Linked DNA regions of Notamacropus eugenii. The protein of the gene in region 1 interacts with the protein of each later gene in a pairwise test. Links are inferred from orthologs where the notes say so. Each region holds a gene or a part of one and is shown in the gene's direction. Other genes may lie near its edges.

Region 1 (9,944 bases):
TTCCTAGCCTCACCACCAAAAAAAAAAGAGGAAAGAAAGCAAGAAATCAAACCACTCTATCATCTTGATATAATAGAAACAACCCTAGTTAGAGAGTAAGAACTCCTAGATTCTAATTTCTAGCAACTCTGTGAATTGTTACTCGTGTGACCTTCAGCAAGTCCCAGCATCCCCTGGGTCCATTTTTTCATGTAAAATGGTGGAGCTGGACCCGGCTGTCTTGAAAGACTTTAAATTCTCTGCTTTCCTAGTTCATCCTTAGACGCTATCAGCTTCAGAGGCACCTGACTGAAAGGGCATTCCTTGTTGCAGAAGAACTCCACACTTTTATTCAAGGCCGGTGGCCTGTTTTTTAAAAACCAAAATCGATACTTTAACCGAAATATTTTTTTTCTGCCACAAGCCAGCAAAATTACTTAATTGATCTTTGTTACCCCTATATTTGTCTTTGAGCCAGAGCATACACATAATGTCCTGTCATGCATTTGAACAGAATCCAGGGTCTGGAAATAAAGGTGAAAAACTGCTGGTGCCATTATTTGGATTTTAAGAGGTCCAATTTTCTTGCTTATTTTGCTGAAGTGAAGAATAAATAATGCATTTTACCTTGGGGGGGAAAAATCAAAGCATTTATTACAGGTAGGTAGCACTCTGTGAAGGGAATGGAGAAAAACAGAGCATTGATTGAAGTTAATTTTGCATCCTTGGGTAAAGACATGTCCTCCTACTGTCATTGTTTGGATTATATACTGCCATCTCCCTCCTCAAATTGCCTTGTTCGTACTTACCTGTGTGTGAGAAAAGAGGTGTTCTGGTCATCATCATCACCTCCAGTCTCCTTCGGAGGAGTAAGCTCCTTGCGGGCTGGGAATGGTTTCTATTTTTCCTGTTGTAGCCTCGTTGTACCTTACACATATGACCACGTTTAGTAAATACTTATTGAATTCATTTGAATTTTACCAGGTATCCCAAGAAGTACTAGCTTCAAACTGCTCTGTGATTTGGGGCATACCCTGAATATATTCATTATATAACAACCAATTTATAAGCATTTATTAAGGTCCCCTCTCCCCACAGCACTGTAATACAAACACAAAATGAGAAAACAGTTCATGGAGCTAACATTCTTTCAAGTGAGAGAATAGGTGCCCCACAGAACCATAGTGAAAGGGGCCTTAAATCTCCTCATTTTACAGATGGGTAAACTGAGGCCCAGAACTAGGAAGTGATTATCCCAAGGTCACAAGACAGTGTCACAAGCAAGATCTGAATTTAGCTCCTCAGTGCACAGGTGTGCCACCACACTCAACTCATCTGCACTGCTTGCCATGATGCACACATATAAACACAAGCGAAGTTAATATGTCTTCCAGCATAAGCAGTTTCACTGATGTGCAAACCTAATGGTATTTGAATCCAAAAAATATTAGTGCTTTCATCAGCACAGGGCTGGAAATTTCTTCTACCAACATCACAACTACTCTGTCTCTCAGTAGCAAGATCCTAGGAAATTGTCCAAAGCTCAGACTTTTACATGACTTGCTCAGGGTCACACAACTGCCAGAGGTCAAATTTGAACCCATGGCTTTTCTGATTCTAGCTCACTGTCTCAACACTCTCCTTAATATCCCCATGATATTTTGTTTCTTTTCCTCAGTATCATTAAGTCTTCTTGGTACCTGATGCAGCTAGCAACATGAAGTTAGAGAATCTTTGGTGCAGAATGATGAATCAGTGAAGAAGCACTTATTTTAGTACTATAATGTGCAAGATACTGGGGGTATAGTCCCTGTCCTCAGAGAGTTCAGTTCTATGGCATGGGGGCACAACAAATGCTTAAATAATTCTTTATACACACACACACACACACACACACACACACACACATATACAATGAAACGTTGATGGAGGAAGTAGAAGCTGGTTGGGGAGCATATGATATAAAACAGTATTGGTCAGAAGATCAAGTTAGGATTGTGTACTAGCCATAAGCTTCTGTGAAAGGCTCCTTCACCAGGAAAAGCCTCAGTTTCCTTGCATGTGAAACTGGGAAAATGATTCTCATACCAGTCATACCTTACTTGTAAAAAGGTTGTGAAGAAGGAACTTAGAATGCTATGTAACTGTGAGTTATTATATGAATGAGAGTGATGAGGATGATTATAATGTAAATAGGAGCCATTCTGTTTCAGAACAATGTGGCTTTCCCTGAATCTATTCAGAATACACGGAAGTTAATTAGCTCCCGGTGGCCCTTACTTCTCAAAGAGCAGGGATTATATAACTCAGTTTTGCCTTTGCCAAGTGACTGCTAATATTAGATGCTGCATTTCTGGGCTTGATAGAGCAGTCTGCAAACTTTTTGTCTCACAGCTCCTTTATACTGTTAAATCAAGAACTCCCCCTCCCTTAAAATCTTTTGTTTATGTACGTTAAATATTTACCGTATTAGAAATTAATATGCCTGGGCATTATTACGAAAATAATTTTGGCCCCCTTGACTCCAAGAAAGGGTCTCAGAGACCCCCAGGAGTCCCCTGACCACACTTTGAGAATTGCTAACTTAGAACCCTGAAAGCGGATGGGAACTTTTTGGTTGCTATGCACCCAGATCCCATTCAGTTCAACAAAACAAACATTTCCTGTGTGTATTCAATTGTGTCCATTTCTTTGTGACCCCATTTTGAATTTTCTTGGCAAAGACACTAGAGTGATTTGCCATTTCCTTCTCCAGCTCATTTCATAGAAGAGGAACTGAGGCAAAAAGGATTAAGTGACATCCCCAGGGTTATAGAGCTAGTAAGTATCTGAGGTCACATTTGAACTCAGGTCTTGCAGACTCCATACCCTGCCCAGGACTCTTATCTCTAGCTACTACACTAAGTAACTAAATAAGCTCTACACTAGATGTGAGGAGCGGCACAATGACAAGTAAGACTTGTGCCCTCCCCTCAGCAGGTTTATAATCCAGTAGGGATCTGTACAAAAGTCAAGCAACCAGTATTTGTTTTTTCTTTTTTCTTTATTTTGCATACAGAATCATAGTGTGAGGATTAGAAAGGGTGTTGATGATCATCTAGTTCAATCCATATACATAAGTAATCTCCACCATCACCTTCCCAGTTAGCAGGCCCTGCCGGGACCTGGTTAGATGCGAAAGATACAAAGTGAGGAGATTACAGCAGAGCTGCATGAAACAATCTGTAGAATTTAGAAATGAGATGGTAGAGTGAACAGAGTACTGGTCAGGAAGACCTCAGTGCAAATTTGATCTCAAATATTTACTAGTTGTATGACCCTGTGCAAGTCACTTCACCTCTGTTTGTCTCAGTTTCCTCACCTGTAAAATGGGGACAATAACCTCTACCTCCCAGGTTGTTGTGAAGGCTAATTTAAATAAATTCATAAAACTCTTTGAAAATCTTAAAGCAAATATCTGCAAAATAAATCTAGGTAATTTTGTGAAAGGGCAGGTAGAGGGCACCATAGTGCACAGAGCACCAGGGCTGGAGTAGGGAAGACTCAACTTCCTGAGTTCAAATCCAGCCTCAGACACTTACTAGCTGTGTGACCTTGGACAAGTCACTTCATTCTGCCTCAGTTTCCTCATCTGTCAAATGATCAGGAGAAGGACATGGCAAACCACTCCAGGATCTTTGCCAAGAAAATCCCAGATGGGGTCACGGAGAGTCGGACAGGACTGAACAAGAACAAAGTAATTTTGTGGGGGAGAATCAACAAAGGTCTCCTGGACAAAGCAGCGCTTGAGGTCATAGGAACGAGGAGATGCTAAGAGGCAGGTATGAGCAGGCGGGGAGTTCTAGGTGGGGACAAAGGCAAAGAGAGGGGAGATAAACCCCATTCGGGAGAAAAAGCAAATTCAGTTTGGCTGGAAAAAAATGTGAAAGGAAGATGATACCTAACGAAGCCAGAAAACCAAACTGACCCAAGTAGTAAGGGCTTTTAAACAACAAATAAATATCAGCATAGGAGAAGGTAAAATATGAAAGAATGTGAGAGACAGAAAAGTGTATCCATTTTCATTTCTGGCTTGGGTATGAGAAAAAGCTGGGTGGAGATCATGGAGGGTTTAGTGAAACTTGAAACATTTGAGCTGACTTTGTAGAAAAATTAGACCTTGTAGACAATAACAGTGTTTCTGGTGGGGGGTACATCATGGGCAAAGGCATGGAGGCAGGAATGTGCAGAATATTTTGAATAGTAAAGAGAGTGATTTGGCTGTAGTTCAGGGAACACTGAAGGAAAAGAGTATTAAAAAAAGACTTAAAATGACATTGCTGCCTGCCTTTTGTGACTAGAAACAAAAGAGAATTTTTAAAACAAAAGCAAGATATCAAGCTACTTTTAGAGACATTTGCCACTCAAAGAAGTTCACTCATAAGAGTGATTAATTCAGTCCAACAAATGTTTTTTCATTGCACTTACCATTAAATTGTGAGCTCCTTTAGAGCAGGAAGTATTTTTTTTTTTTGTCTCTTTTTGCATCCCCAGCATTTAGCACAATGCCTCACAGATGGTAGGTGCTTAAAAAATGTCTATTCACTAACTGATGCATTAAGACACTATGACTAATTTGGGAGATACAAAGATAAGAATAAAGTGAGCCCTGCCCCCAAGGAGCTTAATGTCTACTAAAAGAAGTCAGGAATCCAACCAGGCTTAAGGGATGATTAATCTTTAACTTTTCCTCCTCTACTGATTTGGTTTTATTGATTTTGTTTTTAGAAATGTGCTATTTTTTAAATACATTTTCCTTGAGGAAAGAATCAGTGACCATTGGTGAACATCAAATAACACCATAAAATGAAATAGTATGAGTTTTTCAAACAGAAAGAATTTTTCCAACATATTGTTGCTATGATAGCTATCTTCATACAGTTAGACCAGAGTTATATCTGAACTAGTTTTTTTAAAAGAATGAGAAAAATATATGGCATACATCTGAAATAACTTAATCCTGAACTGTTCAAACAAGTAACCAATGATCAGAAATAGGAAATGGACAACAGAAAAGACAACGACTTTGACTATGATGATGTTATTCTGAAGGGTAACCAGTGTACACCAAGGGCATGAAGAGAGTTCAGAAAGTGCCTAAATCAGCAGATATCTGACTTATTTGCTAAATAGTGAGAGATGGCTGCCAAAGGCAATGTTAGATTACAATATAAACCCATTTATAAAATCTTGTGGATAAGGATGATGGATGATTATGAGCAGTATTGTCTCATAAATTAAGGAAGCAAGCAGTAAGGCAAAAATCAGTTTAAAGGAAGCTTGGGAAAACATTCAACTAAAGAAACTCATCCCAAGGACATTCCAAAAGGGAAGAAGGATTGCAAGAAGAAAATGGGAAAGCTTTGTAAAAATCCTTATAACTAATGATTTCTTCATTAAGGACAGTGAAACAACCATATTTGGACCCTAGCACCACAGTGTGCTTACAGAAAAGGTGGAAATGGCACTAAAGAGCAAAAATACAAGGAAAGCGTCTAGATTAGATACTATTTATACATGAAAGAGATCTGTTTTGTAATCTCCACCGTGGTAAATGCACTGAAGGATTGATGTACTAGGCATCGGAAGAAGGGAAAAATGCCAGTGATGGAAAAAATCTTGGACCTTATTAATATAAAAAATGCAACTGAGAGAACATCAGTAACTACCAGCTTTAATTCCTATTCTCCCATTATGAGAGTCTTATATACACCAATAAAGAACATCCTCAATGGTCGTTATTACTATTAGCTTCTAGTTGCCAGGTCTGCTACCTGGTGATGACTTCATGCCCTGGGCCTTCTACTCCACTCTAGTTAAGTGCAAATAATGTTTATAGAGCAATATAAGGGAGTGACAGCAAATGTTTAACAACCAGACTCTCTAGGGGGAAATGTATGCATACACATTTAAGTCTGATCTGTGTTATTAACCCTTTCTTAAGTCTGAACAATCCACGAAACAGTAAAGCAAACCTAGATTTGTGGTGGTTGCAGATGATCATACAGAGCTCACTTTAGCACACCCCAGAGCACAGGTTTATTGCATTTGTGAGATTTTCCTTGTTGGATAACTGCTGGAATCAATACCAGGTTCTTAATCAAAAGTTTCTTTAGAATCATGCAATAATGGCGTTAAAAAGGACATCAGAGACCTTTGGAACCAACTCCATGACATTCCCAGGATTTAGCTTTTAGTTTCTATCTTGAAACTATGCCTTTGGGTCTAGGACCTGGGTCTCTCTGTCCCTTTGAGAGGGACCTCACACTAAGTTAATGTTCCTGTTCTCTTTGCCTCTCTATTTGTCTCCCACAGTGAGATGATAGAGCTTATACATAATTAGCTTCTGTTTTTACAGCTACCCACCCAACAAAATTGTCAGAACTTTCCAGGGGTTTGTTGGAGGCAGCTGTAACTGGCTTGTGAGCGTCCATTGTTAAATGATCATCTTGAGCATTTATACCTTAGAAAGGAGCAATTAGGGGCAGCCACATGGCATAATGAATAGAGTACCATCCCTGGAGTCAAGAGGACCTGAGTTCAAATTTGACTTACTAGCTGCGTGACCTTGGGCAAGTCATTTAACCCCATTGCCTAGGGAGAAAGAAAAAAATCAGCAATTGCCACAAATCAGAGCCAACTTCATGGTTTTGTAGATTTATAGACTTAAGAAAATGTTAATAATACAAATTAAACGTATAAGCATATGTGCATACGTGTCCTTATCCAGTAGTTAAACATTTACCAGCACACCCCTTTACTACTCCATAAACATTGCTTAAATTGAGTAGGACAGTGGAAGGCTTAGGAAATACACATCACAAGACTGGAGACCAGGTGATTGGAGGCTAATAACAATAATCATGGCTGGCATTATGTAGAATTTTAAGGTTTGAAAAGATCTTTCCATCCATCATCTCACTTGAGTCTCATGACAGCCCTGGGGCTGTTGGGTCTCCCGGTTTTTGAGCTCTCCCACACAGATTGGTGGATGGAGACCAAGTCTTACTCTTTCCCTCTGTAGCCAACTTAAGATGAGGGGCAAGGAAGGTCATTGTCTTCCCCCTTGGTCATATCTTGCCTTTATTTAGACCATGGAGGAAACATCAGAACTGACCAGGAAGTAAAATGATGAAATTTAATCCATGACAAGCCATCCATCCAGTTACTGAATACCAAATCTTTTCTGGAATGTTGTTTTTAAAAATTTCTAGACACTTGCCTTAATCCTCAACAGAAGCAAGTATGTCCTCACCCTTCCATTACCTTCCATTTCTAAGGTACAAGTATTGGGCATACTTATGTGAGTATATGTGCACATATTGTCTCATCTGACAGAATAGAAGCTCCTTGAGGACAGGAAATGGTTCTCTAGAGCCTCATACAGTATCTGGCACATGGTAGATCTTTAAAAAATGAGCGATGGATTTTATTATTAACTTACTTGAAAAAATTAAACTAGTTCTTTGATCTTAGAATTAAAGTCCTTTAAAGAATTAAAGGACTAGGTGACTCTTCTGATAAGATGGATTCATTCATTAATTCATTCAATACACATGGCATGATGAACCTGTGACTCTTGGGACACAGAAGCCATCTCAAAATTTCCCTCCTTCTTATATGAAACCACAGATAGACCACTCATCACTTTGCCCCTCTGTGGTCAAAAATTATGTCAGCTAAGAGAATGTCACTGAACTGGAGGATGCAAGCTATTTATTTCTGTCTTAGATGAGACAAATCACTTGTGTCATTCACCCTAATTAACATTAGGGTGATCATGAGATTAATATTAGGGTGATCATGAGAAAAAGAATCATTGACTTCTAAAAAATAAGTATGAAAAGCTCTCATAATGCCAAGTAGAACTGTTTTTGGTGGGGGCAGAGGGGGTGCCAAACCACTGATGAGGCTCTCCTCTCGATCTAAAACACTCAAGGCATAGTTCATTGTAAAGACAGCTGGTCGTGGAGTCAAACAGACCTGAGCATGAATCTTGCCTCAGACATGTTCTAACTGTGTGGCCCTGGGCAAGTCATTTAACTTTAATAAGTGACTTAGACTAAATGACTTCTGAGTCCCTTTCAGCTTTAAATCTATGAACTGATGAATTTAGTGCTGGTTTTGCCACTTGCTTCCTGTAGGATGCTGGCCAAGTGAATTCACCATTCTGAACCCCAGCTTCCTAAGCTGTTAAAAGGAGATGGGACACAATAGTATCAGCACTAACTACAGCACAGGACTGTTATGGGGATCAAAGGAGAAGGTCTTTGAAGTTGTTTGTAAGTTCTAAAATGCTCCATCAATTTCATAGCTCACCCTATCCCATTTCTCCCAAAATCTATCCTGTCAGTCAGTCAGTCTGTTAATAAGCATTGATTAAGTGGTTACTCTTGCTGGGCTCTGTGCTAAATCCCCGACCTTAAAAACAAATGCAAAAACATAGCTTCTGCCCTCAGGAAATGCACATTCTAATGTGGGGAGGGAGTAACATGCAAATAACTGTGCACATCCAAGACATTTGCTGAGGGAAGGTACTACCAGGGAGACAGAGAAAAGGGAAGACTGGAAAGGTCTCCCATGGACAAGGAATTTGAGCTAAATCATGATAAGCCTGGGAAACCAGGAGGCAGAGGGGAGGAGGGACAGAAAGGGAAAAGACACAGAAGGGAGATGGAATTTTCTTATGAGTGAGAAATAGTAAGAAGGCCAGTGTCAATGGATAGAAAAAAAAATGGGAAATCACCAAGTTATGAAGAAACCTAAAAGCTGAAAAAGGTAAAAAAAAGTCCCTGCTCTCAAAGAGTTCGCAACTGAATGGGAGAGACAACATACAAACAACTATGTACAAAAATATATACACAGAATAAAACTGGAGAATATTCACTAGGAGATGATGATCGACGGTGTCAGATTACAGAGATATCCAGAAGGATGGGGGTTAAGGAGAAGTCATTAGATTTAGCAGTTAAGAGATTAGTAACCTTAGAGAGGGTAATTTTAGTTGAATGATGGAGCTGGAAGCCAGATGACAGAGAGCTCAGAATCAAGAGAAGGCGGAGTAAGCAGAGACACCAGCCTCCACTAATAGAGGTTAGTCACCTCTGGGTTAGTCACACAAAGTGCAGAAGAGATACAGGATGAAGGAGAGCAGGCATGGTCAGATTAAGGGATGATTTTTTTTCTTTTTGAAAGGAGGAGGCATGGACATATTTGTAGGCTGTACAGAAGATAGGGAGAGATTGGATAGTAGTGAGAGTGGGTATAGTAGAGAGACAATCTGCTGAAGAAGACAGGATAGAATGGGATCAAGAACATGTCTTGGGGGAAAGGAGGGTGTTACCTCGTCAAGGAGAAGGGTCACCTCTTCATGTGAGACAGGGGTAAAGGAGGACATAGTGGGAAAAGCCTCCTGAAAGTCTGTTGCTTTTTCACAAGGCATCTAATAGCTATGACTAATAATATGACTATTACTTAGAGCTGAGAATTTTGCAAGTATTATGATCAGCCTACAAATAAACAAACTAAGGCTCAGGGCAGGAAGATAGCTTGACCCAAGTGACATCACTAATAATTGGTAGAATTCAAGGCTATCTTCTGAATCCAAATTCACCACATTTTGCACTGGCTATGCTTGCCATCAGCTGTCGGTGATCTCAAGGCTTGCTTTTTAGGGAGCTTAGGGCTAATAAATAAACAAGACACCTAGATCCTAGATCCTAGGATCGTGCCAAGACTAGCCTCCATTTTGGACAAGTCACACAACCTCTTTGGGTCTCAGTCTCCTAAATCCTTAAAGGAGTGATAGAAATGGTTACAATACGCCAGGTATAAAGGCATGCAAAATGAAAGGTATTTTATAAATTCAATGACATTTTTATTGTTATTTTTAAAAGAAGTCTTAAAAATTATCATCTTCCCAAAAC
Region 2 (10,313 bases), on another chromosome or scaffold:
AAAGGCTCATGTCAAAGGCAATCCTTATTGGTCTCTAAATGAGTTGTCTTCAAAATGGGTGACCCTGTTTATACCCTAAAACTCGCAATTGTAAAGATTAGTCTCTTGTTTTATTGTTTGAGACAAGCACAAATCATGAGAATGGGGAAGAAGCGGAAGAGCTGGCATTGATTTTTCTTACTTCCTCTGTCATTGGCTCAGGCATTCCAATTAAAAGCACCATGGACAACTCCACCACTGTGCAGTATGCCAATCTGATGCACAGCTTCATCTTGAAGGCTCGGGGTACTGTGCGAGACATTGACCCCCAGAATGATCTCACATTCCTCCGCATTCGTTCCAAGAAAAATGAGATCATGGTTGCTCCAGGTAAGAGTCTCATTACCTGAATCTTGGAGCAGTTGTCAGGATTTCATTGGGCATGTTCAAAAGAAACTTCCTTTGGTGAACCCTGGGGCATAGGATGCTGGAATTAGAGGGCCCTTAGAGATGATGGTGTACACCATGGTACAGATGGAGAAACTGAGGCTCAGAGAATGTTCATTTTCTTACCCAAGGTCACACAGGGGATTTTGACAGGACTTGATTTCTGCTCTTGTGACTTGTCACTGGAGTATTTCTCTGACTTATACCCCACTGCCAGTGTTTCTTGACTTGCCTCATGTTTTAGACTTCAAGGGGTAAAAAGCATCCTAAAATTCATCTAGTCCAGCCTTCTTTATATAACAATCCCCTTAGTGTTAGTAGCCACAGACACCAACCTGTACAGTCTAGATCTTTCCTGTCACAATAAGGAAACTATCAATGTTAGTTTACACCAGTGATGTCCATCTGTAACAGCAAGGACCCCAACATACACAGAAGGGTCTGCTGTACAGGTTCTTAGATCTGCTTTTCTAAAAGGAAAGCAACTTTTGAGGGGTCAGCAATCACTTTAATTAAGCACATATATCCTTCACTTAGTTCAAGGGAAAAGTGAACACCCTGAACTTCAGACAAAATACAAACAGAGAAATAAGATCAACAGAAAGGGCTTCCAACTGTCTGACCATAAGCAATACATACATCACAGTTACATACATACATAGTTACCAGAGAGAAGCACCAACATCTGGGTTGAGGGGTGGGGGTAGAGCTCCTTATCAGCTTCCCATAGTCTCATCTGGCATACAAACCTTCTTCCAAAAACTAAGCCCCAAAGTCAAACCTCACCTCAGAGTATATATATACACTTTTCAGAGCCAGAGGGCATCACAAGCCTTGAGAACCAGTGCCTCATTAGAAATAACAAAAGGTGCTGGCCTTCCAACAAAAAAAATCTCCCCCAATCAAACTTCTCTTAATGGGCAGGCCCATTAATGGGTGGGGAAGATCTTTTAACTCATTAGCATTACACCATCTCAAATAGAAATTAGCATAATCTATGCTGTATTGAATTTTTATGTATTTTGTTAAACATCTCCCAGTAACATTTTAATCTGGTTGGAGTTTTGAGTTTGATGCCTTTGGTCTACATTGTTAATGAGTCAGTCACAAAAGTTTGATGGACATAGTTTCTAGGTAATAAATATTTTATTAATAGTGCTAGTATATTATCAATAAAAGGGATGGTCATTTGGCTTACTCTCTTAGCCCAAAGATGACACATGGGGGGAGGGGAACTTCACAGTTTATGTGCCTTTGGAAGAGTGAATGTTCCTGAGGATGGCTATCAATTCTGATTGGTTAACAGTTAATGAGGTAGATTTATTCTAATGGTTGACTTGGGACAATGTGACTTTGATTATGTCACTCTTACTCCCAAACCAACCCCAGCCTCAGGGAATCTAGACAAAGGATCTATATCCCCCACCCAAGCCTGAGTAAAACATCATGGACCAATTTCACCTCAGATTAAATTCCTAGTAAAATTGGGTGAGGTAGCAATCCCTAGATTGAGGATAATGTTAATCCCATCTATTATCATCAGTTGTGTCCTTCAGAGACAGAACTGCCAAATGAAGACTTAAAAAATGGGGAAACTGGCTCTCTGCAAATTATTGGTTATTAATAATCATTTCTCATAAGTACAGAAACAGGAACAAGAACTATATTTCAGTCTATCAGCATGAATTTATTAAGCATCAGTTAGGTATATTGCACTGTAACAGATGGTAGAGACACCACTACAGAAATGACAGTCTCTTCCCTGGACACTTTCACAAGGAAGTCTACACAAGATATGTTCCAAACAAATACAAAAGATAAATTCATGGGCAAGAGGGCTAACTTGGATCGAATACACTTGCTCTTTTGCAGTAATTTGGATGAAGAGGCTGAATTTTTTACACTTGAAATGCCATTACATGCTTTTTTCATTTCAATAAACTTTTAGTCAAGATTTACTATATGAGAGGCCTTGGATTAAGCACTGGAGATTCAGGCTGAGATGAAGAAGACCCTGTCCTTTGCCTTCGAGGAACTGAGGAGTCCATACAGTTTGTGACCAGCCTATCCTCCCCATGGTGTAAAAGATGTCTGCATTTTCTTCTACCACACATATTCTTGCCCCCAGTCTGGGCAAATGGCTATTTCCAAGGTTGCCTTAGGGGAAACAAAGATGCTTCAAACCAGAATTTGAATCTCCCTATTCTTTAATCAATAATTTAGATAAGGGCAAAATAGCATCCTTATCAGATTTGCAGATAATACAAATCTAGGGTAGGGGATGGATAGCTAATATATTGAATGACAGAAACAGAATTTTAAAAGATATTGATGGGCTAAAATGTTGAGCTGAATTGAATAATAAGAATTTTCATAGGGATGAATGTGAGGTCTGACACTTGGATTTTAAAAATTAACCTCACAAGTACAAATGAAGGGAGGCTTGGTTAGACAGTGTTTCATCCAAAAAAGATCGGTGGCTTTTAGTGGACTGCAAACTCTGTATATGAGTCCGTAGGATGATGTATCCAAGAAGGCTAAGGCAGTGTTTGTCAGAATAAAGAGAGGGGTCACATTCAGGAGTAAAGCAACAATAGCCCTGCCATCCCTTGGGATACCCTCCCTTCCCCAGCGAAGGGGAACTGTGCAGTGGGGTGCCTTTGAAGGTAGTGGGATCCCCTTCCTGGAGGTTTTGAGGAAAGGCCAAATTGTCTCATTGGATCTGTTGTAGTGGGAATTATTTTCCAGGTGTGGGTTGGCCTGGATCTGTCCCATTCTGATTTTCTAATTCCATCACTCCTGTAACACTGAGGCTTAGGGAAATCAAAGTACTTGTCCAAGGCCACAGAGCAAATTTGTGGCAGAGCCTGGACTTGGAGTCAGCAATCAGTGTGTGACATATGTCTTTTCTTCTTTTTGCAGATAAAGATTATTTCCTGATTGTGATCCAAAATCCAACAGAATAATTTGCCATATTCGAGATGCCATATTTTTTTTTCTTTAATTTAATAGTCTCCCTGAAAGAAAGCATTCCTGTTGATTCCCTCTCACCACTGAATGGCATGTGGAAAACAATGATGATGTCAGACTGGATTTGCAGAGATCATGTGACCCAGGGCGGGGCCCAAATTGATTTTCTTAACCTTTTATCCATCTAGAATCTTCTGAGGCTGCAACTGTAGCCTTCAGTCATCAGGAAGAAAGCCCTTGGAGACAAATTTAATGGCCTGGGCTGGTACCCACACCCTAAGGTCTGAGCTCCCCTTTGGCCAGGCCTTCCCTCCTCCCAATCCAGGCTCTAGGCTTCTGGTTTTAATTTTGTTGCTGTTTTAAAAGGAACTAAAAATAACTGTAACGATTGTTCTTTTGTTGTATCTTTAAATGCCCTGGTGGGAAGGTCTGCTCATGAGTTATTGCAGGGTGGGGGTTGAGATCTGGAACCTGGATCTGTGAGGACAAAGCAGGCAGCAGGGGATCTAGGGAAAAGTACATTAGAGTTAGAAGAGCTGAGTTCTTTGTAGTCATGGGCAAGTCATTTCCCTTCTCTTGACCTCAATTTCTTCAGCAAAATGAGTTGACCTAGATAACCTTCAGAGGGCCTTCACCTCCAAATCTATGATCCCAAGACCTAGTAGAGGAGTCAGCCTGTGAATTAAATGGCAGCTTGTGGGGGGAGGGGTGAGATCTGAGGGTGTGGCCTCTCCAAGGGATTTGAAGGGGATGAACATCCAGAGGACAGGTACTGGTGGGAATGTGAAACCATCCATCTTTACATTGCAGCCACACTCAGTGGGTCTGGGGAGACTTAGAGCCCCATTGGGCACTGCTCTTGTTCCAGCACAGAGACTGACCAAGTTTCACAGGCCCATAGTAGTAGAGCAGAGGGAGGGACCTGCAAAGGATTTGGGGAAGTGACCCTGAAAAATGAGGAGGAGTCTGAAGGGGTGGCCCGAGGACCAGGAGGGAAGCCTGTGGAAGAAGCATGATCAGCTCTACCCCAGCTTAGAAGACACCTTTCTATGAGCATTTCAGCAGCACTTTCCATGTTTGGGGAAAAGACGAAAAGAAAAATTAACTGATGTCGTGAGGCCCTGGGGGATTCCCTACAAAGAAAGATTCCTTTGGGTCCCTGAGATGCTCCTGACCAATTAAAGGGTTATTCACTAAGTATTTACTGTGTGGGAGCTGGTGTTGCATCATGCAGACTAATCTGTGAGGAAAACCTGGATTCAGGTCCTACCTCATACATACTCCCCTGGACAGATCACTTAACCACTCACCACCCCAGGAAACAGACTGGATGTTACTTTCTTTCTGTATTCCTTATCAGGAACTACTTATACTTTATAAAGTCACAGGTCCTGAGCACTCTGGGGGCACAAAGACAATGAAGAGCATGGAATTCTGAAGTCAAGGTTGCTGGATGCACAAAAGTACCTCTGAGGGGCGAGGTAGCATTTAAGTTGAACCTTGAAGAAAATTTCTAGTGGAAGAGGGCCAACTAAGCCTAGAAAGGTAGGTAGGACTCTGAGTGTAGAGGCCTCTAAATTCCAGGCAGACTGAGGATGATGTACTTTGACTGGGGGCCAAAAGGAGTTATTGAAGGCTTTTGAGCAGGGAAAGGAGGGATAGCTTCTGAAGCTTGGGTGGGAAGAGACCAGGGTATGGGGACCACATAAGAGGCTATTTTGTAGAGAAAATGATTTTAGACATTTTCTGAAGATTTTTCAGCAGAAAGGCTTTACTATTAAAAGGGGTTTGGGGGATAACCCAGAGAATTTTACCAGAAAATTACTTTTTCTGGAACAGCCTATTTTCCATTTCTCAGAAACATCACATGAAATAAGGTGTTTGTGTGGCATGAGGGTGCAAACACCACTTTTAACTAACACCTGGCATGTAAGGGCCAACACCAACTTCCTGTGCATCAGGTGTAGAGGAGGATAGTGAGGCCAAGGCAGCCTTGAGGTCTGGCATATACTGAGTGATTTCCTGCCTTTATAAAAGGACATGGGCCCCTACCCTGGCACTGTGGGTAGGGTAGGGTTTTGTGATGGTCCCTTGAGCCCCAATGCTGCCATCTTTCAACTGCCTCCATCCTTTGCCTCCCCCAGTGGGACATCTTGTAGCTTAGCTGTAACCTGAACATAGGAGAGATACCCTTGACACCTCCTGGACACCAGATACCAGACTCTCTTCCCTTCTCCTCCACTGAAAAGTATCCATAGCCACTTTTTTGAGTTCCATACAGAAATGAGTCGAAGCTCCCTGGGTACCTAAGTCACTTGCTGGGACTGCTGAAGAAACTTTCTCATCCCAAGATTTCAAGGAACCAGGCAGGCCTTTGTGTGTCAGTGGAAGAGCCTCAGTTTAAATTGCTTCTTTCAAATTTGGTTATCTACATCATCCTTGTGTGTTCTTTGCAAATACTTCAATAATTCTCTCCTAGTCATTAGAGGCAGAATTCATTTTGTGCAGTCCGCTTCAAGGCACTGAGCAGAAACTAGGACTGACATCCTGATCATAAATCAAAAAAGGAAGCAACTCTCTAGAATCCTAGAATCTGAAAAGCTGCTTTTACTGAGGAAACCACCCCTTTGAAGCAGGACCAGCACTGGGACCCAGGCTTCCTGCACTCCACTGCAGGGTAAAGCCAATGACTGGTATATCGTTTGTCTCCTGACCATACCTCTTTTGGCATTCTGAGAGGAAGACCAAGAACACGTTTTTCTTTACAAATCTCCAAAACTCCCTAGTTTTTAGTAAGGCAAGAGGGGAGTTAAAGGAGTAGCTACAGGCAGGGGTGACGGGAAGGGTTAATCATTTGTTCCATCAGCAGCTTCTCTCCTCACTCCCTCTGCCCTTCTGGAAGACAGAAACTGCTTGGTAGCCTTTCCCCTGAAACCAGACGGCATTTAAACAAGCCCTCATCGTGAATTTTATATTTTGACATTTTCCTCTCAAACATCAGCGTCTGAAAATCATCTCACTCACTCCCTCCCCTCTTCCTGTCACAAACCCTGGCAAGATTTCGAGCCATGTTTTTGCTTTTATTAAGTATTAAATGCTTTCTAATTTAATTAAAGAAAAGGAAGGGGGGATGGGGGGCTGTCTGTGAAGTTCAGGTAATAAGTCGTTCTGCAAACAGGAGCAATGAACGTACTTGGAGGAGTCCTCAGAATTCCGAACCTTGCGCTCGTGAAACCAGGCCGAACAATAAGTAATCTAGGAGAGGCTTTGTACATCACCTAATTCAACTACCTGGGTGGGGGAACTGAGGCCCAGAAAAGTCCTGGGACTTACCCAATATGAGTTGGGAGTGACGTATATTGGAAAGAGCCAGAAGATGTAGTTTTTGGGTCGTACTTTGGTACTGCTAAGTCACTGAGTGCCAGGGGCAGAGCCTGGCAAGTTGGCATGTGCCTCCTCCGTTGGACTAGATGGGCCCCGAGCGCCCTCCGGCTCCAAGTCCTGAGTGTCTCTGGAAAGACCTAGACATCCTGGCCCACTCCTTGCCATTGGGATCCCTCTTCTCGAAACCAGGGCTGTGTCTCCTGGGGAACGCATGACTGGGGGGCCGTGGGGACCCCGCCTACGGAGCCTGCCGTGGGGCAGAGCCGGCACCTCTGGCTGCAGGCCTCGTCCGTACTGCTGCCGGCCCGGCCGGCGGCTGAAGGCCCGGGCACGCCCCGCCAGTCCCGGCCCGGAATGGGGGCCCCAACTTAGACCCTGAGGGGGCGGGGCATGCGACGTCGCGGTCCAGAGCGGAGATGCGCGGCTACCGGTTGTCATGGCAGCGACCAGGCAGGCGATGTCTCCTCGGGAGCCCCGCCTCCTCAGGCCTCCATTCCTGGCCCGAGCTGCCTGTGCGTCACGGGGTCAGTGGGAGGATGGGGTGGCTTTTTCGTCGGCCCAATGGCAGGGCAAGGCCAGCCTCCCCTTTAAGGAATGTTGTGAAGTGACGTCACCGAACCGAGTTACCATCTCCTCGGAGCAGCAGCTGCTCGGGTTTGAGAAGCAGAACGAGCCCGAGCGCGCGCGACGGAGAACCAGAGCGGCAGCGGCGACAGCTGGATCCCTGACCCTGAACTTCCCTTCCCGCCCCAGCCCACCCCTGCCCGACCCAGGACCCCGGCGCGATGCCCTCCGACCGGCCCTTCAAGCAGCGGCGAAGCTTCGGTGAGGCCAGGGCGGGGTAGGGCGGGGGGCTGTGGGATCCGACCGGGACTCTGCGAGACGTCCCGGGACCTGCCGGCGGGGGAAGAGCCCACGGCCGATGATGTCATGGGCACGCGTGGCGTCACGCAGATACCCGCAGGGTCCCATTGCAGGAGGGCGATTCTGGGGTCGCTCCACTTCGAGAGGTCCAGGGACGGCCTCCCGGACGGGTCCGCCCTCCCCCACCCCGAGTTTGCCCTTTAAGGGGCCTGGGGGGAGGAGACAGACGAGGCCCCTCCCCCGCAGCCCTGGAGTGTTTACTCCGAGTGTCCAGGGCGGGGGAGGGGGCTGGCTCGGGGCCAGGGAGGGTCCCGCGTCCCCCCGCCCCACCCCAGCCCGACCGTCCGCAGCGACCTTTCCCAGCCAGGCCGGGGGAGCCCTGGACCCGGGCATGGAGTTTGGCTGGGTGGATGGCTGAGGTCTCCGGGTAGCCTGAGTCTCGGTTCGGGCCGCGGCCCTGGCTGTCTACCCGGGGGCGGTGCTCGTGCTCGGAGGGGCCCCCTGAGCTGGGTCCAGGCCAGGCTGGTGAAGTGGGGCGGACGCGTGGGTGGGAGCCGCCGCCTCCTTGTTTACGGTCCGCCGCTGCGGCCCGGGGCCGGGCCTCACCCCCGCCTCCCTTTGCTTTGCAGCCGACAGATGCAAGGAAGTGCAGCAGATCCGCGAGCAGCACCCCAGTAAGATACCGGTGAGTGCCGGGGCCCGGGCCGCCCCAAGGGCCCGCCCCCCGCTTCCTCTTACCCATGCCTGTTCGCTAGGTGATCATCGAGCGATACAAAGGGGAAAAGCAGCTGCCTGTCCTGGACAAGACCAAGTTCCTTGTCCCTGACCATGTCAACATGAGTGAATTAGTGAAGATCATCCGGTAAGTGAGGCACACCCCAACTCCCACTCCCTCCAGCCACTCACCTCCCCCTGGTCTGGGCTGGAAAGCACCCGACCAGGGCAGTGCCTCGGGAATCTGACCCCAGGCTTGACAGTCCCAGCCGTGAAAGCTGGTGCCATTCCAGGCATCGTGAAATAGAGGTGGTGTCTACGACGTGGGGGAGAGGGGGAGAGAAGGTTCCCTCGTTCTGCCTCTGCCCTGGTCAGCTGACATCTAGAATACAGCATTTAATTCTGGGACCGTGCTTAAGGAGGGTCATTGACAACTCAAATCAATCCACCGGATAGTGTTTAGGATGGAAAGGAAGTAGAATTCATGCCCTGTGAGAATTACTGAAAGGAAGTAAGTTTATGTTTTAGCTTGTAGAAGTTAGGGAAGACATGATAGCTATCTTCTTGTATTAGAAGAGCTGCCATGTGGAAGAGGGATTGGCCCTGAGCCTTCAAGGGTGGGAGACAGGAGGTGGGAATAAGGATATGGAAGGAGGCACAGCTTGGGTCAGTAGAAACTGCCTAAACCCGAAACCATCCAATAAGAGGCAGGACGACTCTGGGACCTCCCACTGGGCAGGATGGATGGATGACTCTTCTCAGAGATGTTGTCAGGAAGTGGGGAGAGGGGTTGGACTAGAGAGCTCAGAGATTCCCTCCAACTCCAGTGTCAGGGCCCAGAGCTGGGAGTTGGAGGGTCTTGTTGCCTTTCCAACAGACTCCCCCGATCCTCCTCTCCCCTATGCAGCCGCAGACTCCAACTTAACCCCACTCAGGCCTTCTTCCTGCTGGTGAACCAGCACAGCATGGTGAGCGTCTCCACACCCATCTCGGAGATCTATGAGCAGGAGAAGGATGAAGATGGCTTCCTCTACATGGTTTATGCCTCCCAGGAGACCTTTGGCTACTGAGCAAAAAGGGGCAGGGAGTATCCTGGCCCTGGGAAGATAGCAGCTGGGGAGGGGGGCAGCCCAGCCCCCTACTCCAGAACTATAAAGCTGCCTCTAACTACCCCCTCTCTGGGCCCCTTCCCCAGGACCCAAAGCAGGAGTGGTTGGCTTAGATCAATGCCAAACAAAGGACTTTGCCCACCCAGGGCTGAAGCAGAAGACATCCTGTGTCAACAAGGAATTTTCATCTATCCCAACTCTGTACACATATCAACTCTCGGTGCTACCCCCAGATGCTAGAGCCTTGGGGGCCGCTCTGTCTGTCTGTGTGTCTAGGTGGGGGGATGAAAATACAGATATAGCTATATATGGCTGCCCCCTCCCAGTTCTGAAGGTGGCCCCTGTTGAAAGTTGGGAGGGGGTAGGGGGGTGGGCACCTGTGGCCTTGGCCCTGCCTTGGCTCTGGTCTGTTTTGTTTTTTTTTTTTTAGGCACCTGTCCCTCCTGTCTTTATTGCATGCAGTCTGGACCCATCCTGTGCTGGCAGCCACTCCAAGGACTGAGCTTTCCCCCTGCGACCACAACCCTGCCTGCTGTTCCTTCCATGTTATGTACCACAGTGTCCTGGAGGACCAGCCTATTTGAGCTACCATTACTATGTATAAATAAAGAGAAATTCAAGTCCTACCCAGCTCTGGGCCAGTGTTCCCTCTCTGCCTCTCACAGCAGCACAGCCTGGTCCTTCTGGACACAAAATGCAGATGAGATGCTAGGCCCCTTCTCCTCTCCAGAACTACAGGCTACAGTAAGTTACTGACTCAGGCTGGTATCCTTCTGCTACTTTAATCAGGAAACTTGATTTTTTTTTTTTTAAGACAAATGAAAGACCATTTCCATGTCCAAACGT
Region 3 (9,794 bases), on another chromosome or scaffold:
GCTCTAAATCACAATTTGATTAGAGAAATGCAAATTATAACAACTCTTGAGGTACCTCCTCATACTTATCAGATTGTCTAACATGACAGAAAAGGAAAATAACAAATGCTGAAGGGAATATGGGAAAAATAGGGATACTAATGCACTGCTAGAGGACTTATAAATTGTTCCAACTATTCTGGAGAACTGGGAACTACGCCCAAAAGGCTAAAAACTATCCACACCCTTTGATACCACTACTTAGTCTGTAAGATCAAAGAAAAGGTAAAAGGACCTAGATCTATATGTACAAAAATATGTATAACAGCTTTTTCTATGTGGTGGTAAAGAACTGAAAATTGAGGGGATGCCCATCATTTGGGGAATGGCTGAATAAACTATGGTAACAATTGTGATGGAATAATATTGTGCTGTAAGAAATAACGAGCAGGATGGTTTCAGAAAAATCTGGGAAGTCTGATATGAACTGATGCAAAGTGAAGTGAGCAGAACCAGGAGAACATCATACAGAGTAGCAGCAGTATTATAACAATGGTCAACCATAAAAGATGCCGCTCCTCTCATCCAGACAATGATCCATGACAATTCCTAAGGACCCAAGATGAACACTGCTATCTACCTCCACAGAAAAAACTGATACAACTTTGAGTGCAGATGGAAGCACGGTTTTTTCACTTAAAAAAAAAAAATTACCATCTGGGAAGTCTGTATTTTATCCTAGAAGCAAAAGGTAAGAACAGAGGTTTGCTATGGTCAAACATATTCTGGAGAAGACTTTGGCACTATGTAGGAGAGAGAGAGTGGAAGCAGGGAGACCAATTAAGAACGAATGCAAAAAGCCAAAAGAGAAGCGATAAAGGCTCAGTAGAGTGGCTGTGTGAATGGAGAGGAGACAGCTGCATGAGATGTTGTGATTTAGTTTAGGAGGGAGGGAGGAGGAAGAGACTTTGATGATTCTAAAGTTGCCAATCTGGTTAACTAAAAATATAAGATAATAGATCTGGAGCTGAGAAGCACTTAAAATAAGCCATGTAGTTCAACAAATCACTCATTTTACAGATGAGGAAACTGAGGCCCAGGGAGGTTAAATGATTTGTCCAGATACACTGGTAGCATCAGAGGTAGGATCTGAACCCAGATCTTCTGCCTCCAGAACCAGTAGTCTCTTCACTGTACACACTTAATGTAGCCTCTCCAACTCACCCACCCACCCCTATGCCCCAAGAAATAGAGAAATTTAGAGTTCCATTTTAGACATGTTGAGTTTGAGATGCCTATGATACATCAGTTTGTTGGTATCAGTTGAAGGTCTCAAGTTTGAGAGAGATATTAGAGATGGATATATATAAGGAGAAATTTTAGGAGTCATCAGCACAGAGGCCATAGGAACAAATGAAATCACCAAGAGAGACAATGTTGAGAGAGAAGACAAGAGGCCCAAGGTAGCCGGGGCCAGGGGGAAAAATACCTTCTTGCTTAGAGTAGCAGGAAATAGATGATGATCCAACTGTGGAAAATAAAGATTAGTTGGAGAAAGAGAAGGAAAACAGCGTTATGTATGTCTAGGGAAGACATACATATAAAGGGAGAGGTCAAGTAGATGTTGAAGTGATATAGTCAATAAGACTTGCTACCTAATTGGTTGGAGGTGAGAGAAATGGAAAAGGGAAGAGTCTAAGATCACTCTGAGGTTGTAAATATGGAAGACTATTAGGATGATCAACAAAAATGGGGAGATAAAGAATTCTGTTGACCAATAGAGTTTGATATGCCTAAAAGGCATTCAGAGAAGCTATATAATAGGCAGTTGTAGTGCAGGCCCAAGGTTAGGACTGGATATAATAGATTTGGGGGGCATATGCAAAGAGATAATAGCTTAGTTCATGGGACCTGTTGAGAGCTGGAAGAATGAGGATGAAAAAAGAGGATGCACAAAGGAGACATAGAACGAAAGAATAAATGATGATCCAGGTGAAAAAGACTGAGATAGGAAGAAAACTAGGAGAGAACAATCATGGTAGCCAAGGGCAGAAAGAGCTCCAGAAGGAAGGCGTGATCTAAGAGAATGAGAACTGAGAAAAGCCTATTAGATTTGGTAGTTTAGAGATAACTGATAATTATTTAGGGAGCAGTTTTGGCTGATTAGTGATTTATGAAATGGAACTGTAAGGGATTGAGAAGTGAGTAGATGGAGGAGGCTGTAACACTCTGGAATGTGGACAGAACCACATTAAAATGTAATTGGGAAATACTTAACAAGATAAATAAAAATATAAAAGAACACAGATAATGTTGGGTCTTCTAAATCAACATAACAGAGATCCTTATTTACTGTCTAGTGGCCCATTTCTCTTTGAGTTTGATATCACTGGTATTCAAAAGTGGGGTCAAGATTCACAGTTTAAGAAGCAAGGGGTCGCAAGTAGAAAAGTTTAAGGAGCCCTGATGTAGATGATTCTTTCTAAGAACTTGGCAGTAAAAGATGGGAGAGATATATGATAATAGCTTAAGGGAAGGCAGAGTCAAGGTGGGGTTTTCTAAGGACAGGTAGGTCTGAACATGCTTGTAGGCAGTAAGTGTCCCCTCAATGGAGATAATTTTCAGGCAGTCACTAGAAGAGCATTTGTCCAGTACATTATAAGCAAAAATTCCTTTTCAGGTATGTTTTGGACTAGAGAATGACTATGAAAACATTCCAACTTTAAAATTCTGTGATTCTGGCTTTAGTTTCTTTCATTTCTTACTCCTGAACCATATTTTCCAACTTTTTTTTTTTTTGGCCACTCTTGTTTATGCCCGTGTTAACACCAGAGTCATCAAGTATCATATTGTATGTTGTTTTAATTTGGAGGCCCTAATGGAGTTCTTCAGATTTTATCTCACCCTCCTCTACAACTGATGTTGCCTAACTACATATGTTCACAATGGTCCTCTTGCACAGTGAGATACCAGAAAATCAAATGTCCCATGAAATGATATTTCATGTTGTCTTGGTACACACAATTAAACAAATTTTCTTCTGTTTCTGTTCACAGAGAAAAATGTCAAGATCAATATGATTCATTGATCTCACTTTTAAGGTACCAACAGTTAAGTTAATCTTCATAGACTGTCTTTAAAACTATGTAATTCTGCCTTGTCTTTGCAGAAGCAGAAGGGGACCTCCCAGTCTAAAAGGACCATTTTGTACTTTTCTTAGTTTCATCAGCTGCAGTAGTCATCAGTGAGTGGCTATACCATTTAAGCTGGTCATCAAAAAACAGTCTACTCCATGCCAGGACTGAACTCGACATCTTTCCAGAATATGAGGTAGATCTTAACTCTTCTGGCTTAGGTTTTGAGAACCTACAGTCACCTTCACAACACAGAGAGGTTTCACAGTAGGACTTCTAGTGACTCGGATCTATACATTCAGTTTTGCATTTTCAACTGCCTTCTAGCTTCTTTCTTTCTACGTACACATCCCATAAGCACCTCAAAGTCAAATGTCCAAAAATGAATTCATTTTCTCCTTTCCAACTACCTCTCTCTTTGTTGTTTTTCAGTCGTTTCTCAGTCATGTCTGACTTTTTATGACCCCATTTGGGGTTTCTTGGCAAAGATACTGGAGTGGTTTGCCATTTCCTTCTCCAGCTCATTTTACAGATGAGGAAACTGAGGTAAACAGGGTTAAATGACTTGCCCAGGGTCATATAGCTGGTAAGTATCTGAGGCCAGATTTGAATTCAAGATGAGTCTTCCTGCCTCCGGGCCCAGCACTCTATCTACTGAGTCACCTAGTTGCTCCTCTCTGATGTTCCCTAATTCTGCTGAAGAAACCACAATCCTCCCAGATACCTGTGTTCACATGTCATAGTCATCCTAGTCTCTTCTTTCTCTCTCCCTCCTTCTCACCTACATACAATCAGTTGCCAAATCCAGCTGATTCTGATTCTGCTTGAACATCTCCAGTGACTATAAAAACCCCAATTTAATGCCATCACCAATTAGACTATTTCAACAGTCCCTAATCAGTCTCTAGTTCACATGGCTGATGAAATAATTTTCCTAAAGCACAGGTCTAACTATGTCACTCCACTGATCAAAAATCATCAGTGCCCTCTTATTGCCAAAGTAGATCAAATACAAATTCCTTAGTCTGAAGTTTAAGGTCCTCCACAATCTGGTTCCAACCCACTGAGCATCTTTGCAAAGGCTGTCCCTCAACCCCCAAGTGTAGAATACAATCCCTCATCCATAGCCTAGAATGCTGGACTTCCTTCAAGGCTCAACCAAAGAGCTTCCTCCTTCAGGTAACCTTCTCTGATAGCCCCAGGTGAGTTGTTTCTTTCTTAAATAGTCGTAGAATATTTGGTACTTTTCTTTGCCTCCTTCATGCCCTCCATTGTATTATAAATTGTTCTCATGTTTCTTCTTTGAGGCCAAGTGTGTGCTTCGTCATTTCTCAACATTCATTTTCTATTATTTTACACACACACACACAGATAAGCTTTGCTTATTTCACTCTGCATCAGTTAAGTCTTTTGTATTTTCTGCAATTTGCATTCTTTGTAAAATTCTTTGATTCTCTAATTCAATGTTTATTAAAGAACAGTAATATTACATCATATTCATTTCCTTCAATTTGTTTAGCAGTCCCCAATCAACAGGTATCTAGTCTGTTTCCAGTTCTTTGCTACCACAAAAAGTGCTACTATAAAGCCTTTCTTCCTGTTTTTAAAAATCAATGACCTCCTTTGGGTATATGTCTAGCAGACACTTTATAAAAATGTCATTTTAAAGCTTACAAAGCACTTTACATTTGCTATCTCGCATATACATGGTCTCATTTGAATATCATAATTGAAGTAGATACTGAAGGTTTTATCTTCATTTTTCAGAGGAGGAAACTAAGTGTCACAGAGGCTGAATGACTTGCTCCAGGTCATAAAGCTACAAAGGCAGGATAGGATCTCAATTGTTCCTGACACCATTTAGCATTCTAGTAACTATGCAGAGCCTATTTTTTCTCATGTCCTTTCAGGAAACAAGCATTTATTAAGGGCTTTACTGTGTGCTAGAGGGGCAGCTAGGTGGTACAGTGGTTAGAGTTCAGGGTCTGGAGTCTGGTAGACTCATCTCCCTGAGTTCAAATCCGGGCTCAGACAATCCCTGGCTGTGTGACCCTGGGCAAGTCATTGTTTGCCTCAGTTTCCTTATCTGTAAAATGAGCTGGAGAAAGAAATGGCAAACCACTCCAGGATCTTTGCCAAGAAAACCCCAAACAGGGTCATCAAGAGTCAGATCATCAAGGAGCCCACAGTTTAAAGGGGGAGACGACATGCAAACAATTATGTAGAAACAAAATAAACTGGGATAATCCACAGAAGGAGGACAAAGGAAAAAGGCTTTCTGTTGGTGAGATCTGGCCAGGAAGGCCAAGAGACGGAGCGTGCAAGGACCGGGGAACAAGCAGGGAAAAGGCTCGGAGTCGGGAAATGGGAGTGTCCCGTGCGAGCCACAGCAAGGAGCCAGTGTCGCTGGCCCGGGGGGGCCGTCAGGTCTGAGAAGACTCGGGAGGGGTTCAAAGCCAGAGCGGACTCGGCCTCGGATCCCACGGCCGGTCCCGGCGGGGTGGGACGCGCCCTGGAGGAAGAGCACCACTTTTTCTCTTATTTCCCAAGAGGTCCTCTCTCCCGCGCACTTCCCAGACCCAGGCGCTCCCCGTCCCGGCCTGGCTCCGCGGCCTCCGCGGGGCGCCCGCTCCCCGAGCACAGACCAGCCCCTACCTTCCTAAAGCTAGGACCTTCTTCCTCCATCTCAGCCGCAGAGGCCCTCGAAGAGTTCGGAGACCCCGCCCCGGAGGTCTCGTACCAGCCAATGAGAAGCGGCCGCGGGAAGAGGCCGCGGCGCCGCAGCTTGCCGCTCCAGCTCCCACCTCTACTACTACGGACGTTAACGCATGCGTGCTCTCTCCTCTTTCGGCCGCCCGCCACGGGACTCCTCCTAGAGAAGGCCTCGTGAGGGTTCCTGGGACTTGTAGTTCCTGCTGCCTCCAGGCTTCAGGCTGAACTACCTTTCCCAGCGTACCTCGCACTTCCTGGTTACTGAGGCGCTGCGGGCGGCGGCCGGTGAGTGAGGTGGCGCTTCCCACCCCCCACACCTCCCCCCCCCCCACCCGCGAATGCGGGTGCTGGAGTCGGAGTGTAGCTGGGGGAGATGTCCTCGAACCCACGCCTGTGAGGGTGGGGGGGGGGGGGGATGAAGTAGATGCGACCCCACTACCAATGTCTACCTTTTACCCTGTAACCAGGATACACCTTGTGGGAGGGGGGACAGCACGTCATCCGCCCCCACTCCGCCACTGTCCCCTCCCCAGACAGTACCCTCGACCCCACTACCCTTCCCCCATCGTCGCCCCTTCCCTCCTATACTGCCCTCTTCACGTTATCTCCTCCCCATTCACTTCTCCGCCTCTACCTCCTCCACCTCCTTAATACACTGCCCCTCTCTGCACTCTCTTTCCTGTACACGGACCCCACCAAACACTGCCCTGGTTGATGAACTTTTCTAGAGGACCCCCCATAGAGTCCCCCATCCACATTCCACCCCACTCACTGTCCCCATGGCTAACATGAGGACCTGAGATACGGTCCTCCCCAGCATACCGCTCTCTCACGGAGACAAAATGCAGTTTGTAAGTATTTTATTAAAACACTTACTGTGTGCTAAGCACTGGAGGTAGAAAAGTAAGACCCTCCTGCACTCAAGGAGATCAGTCTAACCGCACACGTGGGAGGTTTCAGGGTGCTGAGACGGCAGATGGCAATGCCCCTTCTTTAACGTTATGGCCACTGATAAGATCACAGCGGTTCCTGTGTGGTACCGTTTGACAGTGCCAAGGACTCCGGGGCAGAACTTTGTTTTCTGGGTCTGCAGGAGCAGTTGCCAGGCTGCATCTCCACAGGGCATGCTTTCCAGGGTGACGGGACTCCCGAGACTTTTAGGTTCAGAATCTTGGAAGCATTGCTGCTCCCAAGGCTGTCTGCATCAGGGTTCAAGGGCAGAGGGTGGCCAAGATGGGGGTGGAATTTGACCTGCCTAGCCCATGCCTGTTTCCTATCTCTTTCTCAGGATGCCTTGCTACTCCAGCTGGGCTAGTTTGCCTGACCTTGTGTGTGGCAGCTGGGTGAAAGTTGGTTAAGGATGGCTGGTCCCTTCTCCACAAGAAGTTGCTTCCCTATACAAATGCTGTGAGAGGGGGGTAGGCTGAAAGCTGGACTGGTGGGCTTGGGGCCTGTTGTTACTCCTAGGGCTCTTGTGCTCATCTGCCTGTTGGTGGTAGTTAACAATTATTGCTGGTAGTGACGAGAAAGGTGGTCCCTCTCTCCGCAGGGATTTCTCCCCTTAGTGATAGCTGCAGGAGCTGGGCTGGAAGCAGGTCTGGTGGTTTGGGAGGCACTGTTATTCCCAAGGCTCTTGGGTTCAGGGTTCTAGTTTATCTCCAGTGGGGTATGAAGGAAGATGGTAATCAAAATTGATGGTGATGGGTTGATTTTCTAATATGCTTAGGACTGCATTATGTTCTTAAACTTCTTTGGGGCCTTACTTTCTACTTACCCTGGGAATCATCCCAGTAAACAAGGGAACCTCCAACATGACACAGCCCTCATACCTAGGATCTTCATTTTATGTAGATCTCCTACATGTCTCCTCCCTAATTCCTCTGCCCATCCTGTCCTTATCTACCACAATAACTGAACTGGCATTTTTGGGGGGAAGAGGGGAAGGAAAAGAGGAAAGAGGAAGAAGGACCTAATGATTTTGCAGCACTTGCCCTGCTTTTTCTAATTTCATCCTGCATCCCTCATCTTGTGAGACAGTATCTCCCATATCTAGTCTTAAAGTGAATTGTTAGAAACTGTACTGTTATCCATCATCCAATCTCATAGCACTTTATAGTCCTTTTATGCATTTGTCATATCCTAATCTGTGTTTTATTTATCCGTGTATATCTTGTTAGCAATGGTGAAAGCAGCTTGGCTCAGGAACATCATGCAGCTCTCCCAAGGATGGAGTTGATCGCCTCATAACTTGTGAGGCTAGTTCTCTCATTCTGGAATTTCTCCACAGAAAAGTTGGACTATAAAGAACATCCTGAGGAAGCCCCTATAATTTTCCTGGGACAATGGAGGAGTTCCGCCGTTCCTATTGCCGACTGTGTAAGGACAGTGGCGCTGAGCCTCAGGAAGTGGTCCTCAAGCAGCTGCATGATTTGCGGGAGGGTCATCACAAGAGCAAGCTAGACCTGGCCACCCAGAGCTTGTCTATTGACACCTGTGGAGCTCTGGGGAAGCTCCTGCAAAATGACATCCTATTTTCAGTGGTCCTTCTAAGTGACTGCATGATGAGTGAAGAAGGTGAATGATGGTTCTGGGCACTTGGTCAGATTCTAAAACCTCTGGCTGCTGTTTGGGCTTGGGTAGTTCTGAACTCCTTGTCCCAGTCCTGGGTTCAGATATGTAGATTTTCTGAAACCTCCATCAGCATTTCATTTATTGAACACAAACTACTAAGGTTCCCACTCAGAAGCCCAATCCTCTAAGTCTCCTTCCGCTCTAGTGGTGTCTCTTCTCCTAGCCTCATTCTAGAGTGGAAAAGCCTAGAGGGTTGGGAAGAAAGTTTTTCCCTCTTCTACAAGGGACTTGAGGCTAAATATTTCTCTATAGACCTAGATTTCCACAACAGCCAGACTCTGTGTTGGCTTAGAAATAAACTTTTTGTGTGATAACAATTCACCTCCATGAACATCAGTTTCCTTGATTGAAATCTGGCAACCTTTCCTGAGTAGGCATGATTTCAGCTTGAGAAAATGCATTTTAGACTTTAAGATATTGTATAAATATAATTTCTTATTATCAGTGGGAGATTTCCTACAAGTCTCAACCTAACCTGGTAGTCAGTTTGGCTAGCTGATTGAAGTGAGTTGGAGTAGCATTTTGTTGCTATGATCGTGACCAAACTGAAAAAAAAAAATATCTTTTCCTGAGTGAGTAGCTGCCTGCAGATAGGCAAAGGAGAGTATAAAGAGATGACCCAGGGAACCTTGTATTCCAAGAAAAAAAATAACTCTTTTTCTCTTACAGGATCCAAACTGCTCATACAAGGACTTTGTTCAAATACAGTAGTCAGATACCTGGATTTAAAGGTGAGCAAACGGAAACATCTCACAGTAACACCAGACCCAAAGAGCCATGGGGAGAATAGAGGGGAAAATGGGGATTGATAAATGTTTATTGTGGAGTAGTTTCTGGTGTCCTATGGAAGCATCTCAGATGCTTAGATTTCCCTGAGTTTGGACAGTTACAGCAATATTGTTGGAGTGGCCTAGTCAGAATCATTTGTCTAATTGTGATATAGACATATATCTTGAATTCATAAAAATTCTTAGACTCAAAGGTAGAGATCATATATCTCCTACAGTGCTTAATATATAGTATTGAATGAATGAATTATTGAGTGGCATTGAGTCCCATGAGGGAATGATGTGATGCCAACTTTGAGGAAAACATATCTTTTTTAAAAAGGCAGTCCCTAACTGCTTTCTTCAGTGTCTTAGGGAACTATACCTAAGGGTCAGTCTAGCTCCAATTTCACCTCATAGCAGGGCAGAGCACACAGATAGGCTCACTCAGAAGGTAAGGCTGTCACATTGAGAGTCCAGCCTTCAGGAGGGTGAATGACTAACCATTCATCTGTCCTAGGGTAATAACCTTCGAGCTATAGGGGCTGAGGCTTTGGGTAAACTCCTCCGA

What was found.
Region 2: the proteins of kxDL motif-containing protein 1-like (region 1) and MAP1LC3A interact in binary tests that used the Homo sapiens proteins (3 or more experiments, as listed by UniProt). The two-hybrid records come from large-scale screens. The link is inferred for Notamacropus eugenii from reciprocal best matches to the Homo sapiens genes KXD1 and MAP1LC3A.
Region 3: the proteins of kxDL motif-containing protein 1-like (region 1) and LRRC45 interact in binary tests that used the Homo sapiens proteins (3 or more experiments, as listed by UniProt). The two-hybrid records come from large-scale screens. The link is inferred for Notamacropus eugenii from reciprocal best matches to the Homo sapiens genes KXD1 and LRRC45.

Annotation. Positions count from the first base shown.
Region 1 is NC_092874.1:283,500,281-283,510,224, reverse strand, and holds the start of kxDL motif-containing protein 1-like, read left to right. Parts: upstream 1-5,019; coding exon 5,020-5,071; intron 5,072-9,944.
Region 2 is NC_092872.1:418,663,616-418,673,928, forward strand, and holds MAP1LC3A (microtubule-associated protein 1 light chain 3 alpha), read left to right. Parts: upstream 1-6,460; 5' UTR 6,461-7,565; coding exon 7,566-7,605; intron 7,606-8,273; coding exon 8,274-8,329; intron 8,330-8,399; coding exon 8,400-8,506; intron 8,507-9,265; coding exon 9,266-9,428; 3' UTR 9,429-10,097; downstream 10,098-10,313. Other genes in the region: DYNLRB1 (dynein light chain roadblock-type 1), read left to right, coding at 202-369, 3,349-3,392. UniProt on the Homo sapiens protein: Ubiquitin-like modifier involved in formation of autophagosomal vacuoles (autophagosomes). While LC3s are involved in elongation of the phagophore membrane, the GABARAP/GATE-16 subfamily is essential for a later stage in autophagosome maturation.
Region 3 is NC_092873.1:326,373,046-326,382,839, forward strand, and holds the start of LRRC45 (leucine-rich repeat-containing protein 45), read left to right. Parts: upstream 1-6,028; 5' UTR 6,029-6,069; coding exon of another isoform or gene 6,070-6,216; intron 6,217-6,586; exon of another isoform or gene 6,587-6,676; intron 6,677-6,764; coding exon of another isoform or gene 6,765-6,951; intron 6,952-8,002; exon of another isoform or gene 8,003-8,112; 5' UTR 8,113-8,167; coding exon 8,168-8,399; intron 8,400-9,125; coding exon 9,126-9,187; intron 9,188-9,743; coding exon 9,744-9,794. Other genes in the region: CENPX (centromere protein X), read right to left, coding at 5,769-6,028, 6,070-6,216, 6,765-6,951. UniProt on the Homo sapiens protein: Component of the proteinaceous fiber-like linker between two centrioles, required for centrosome cohesion.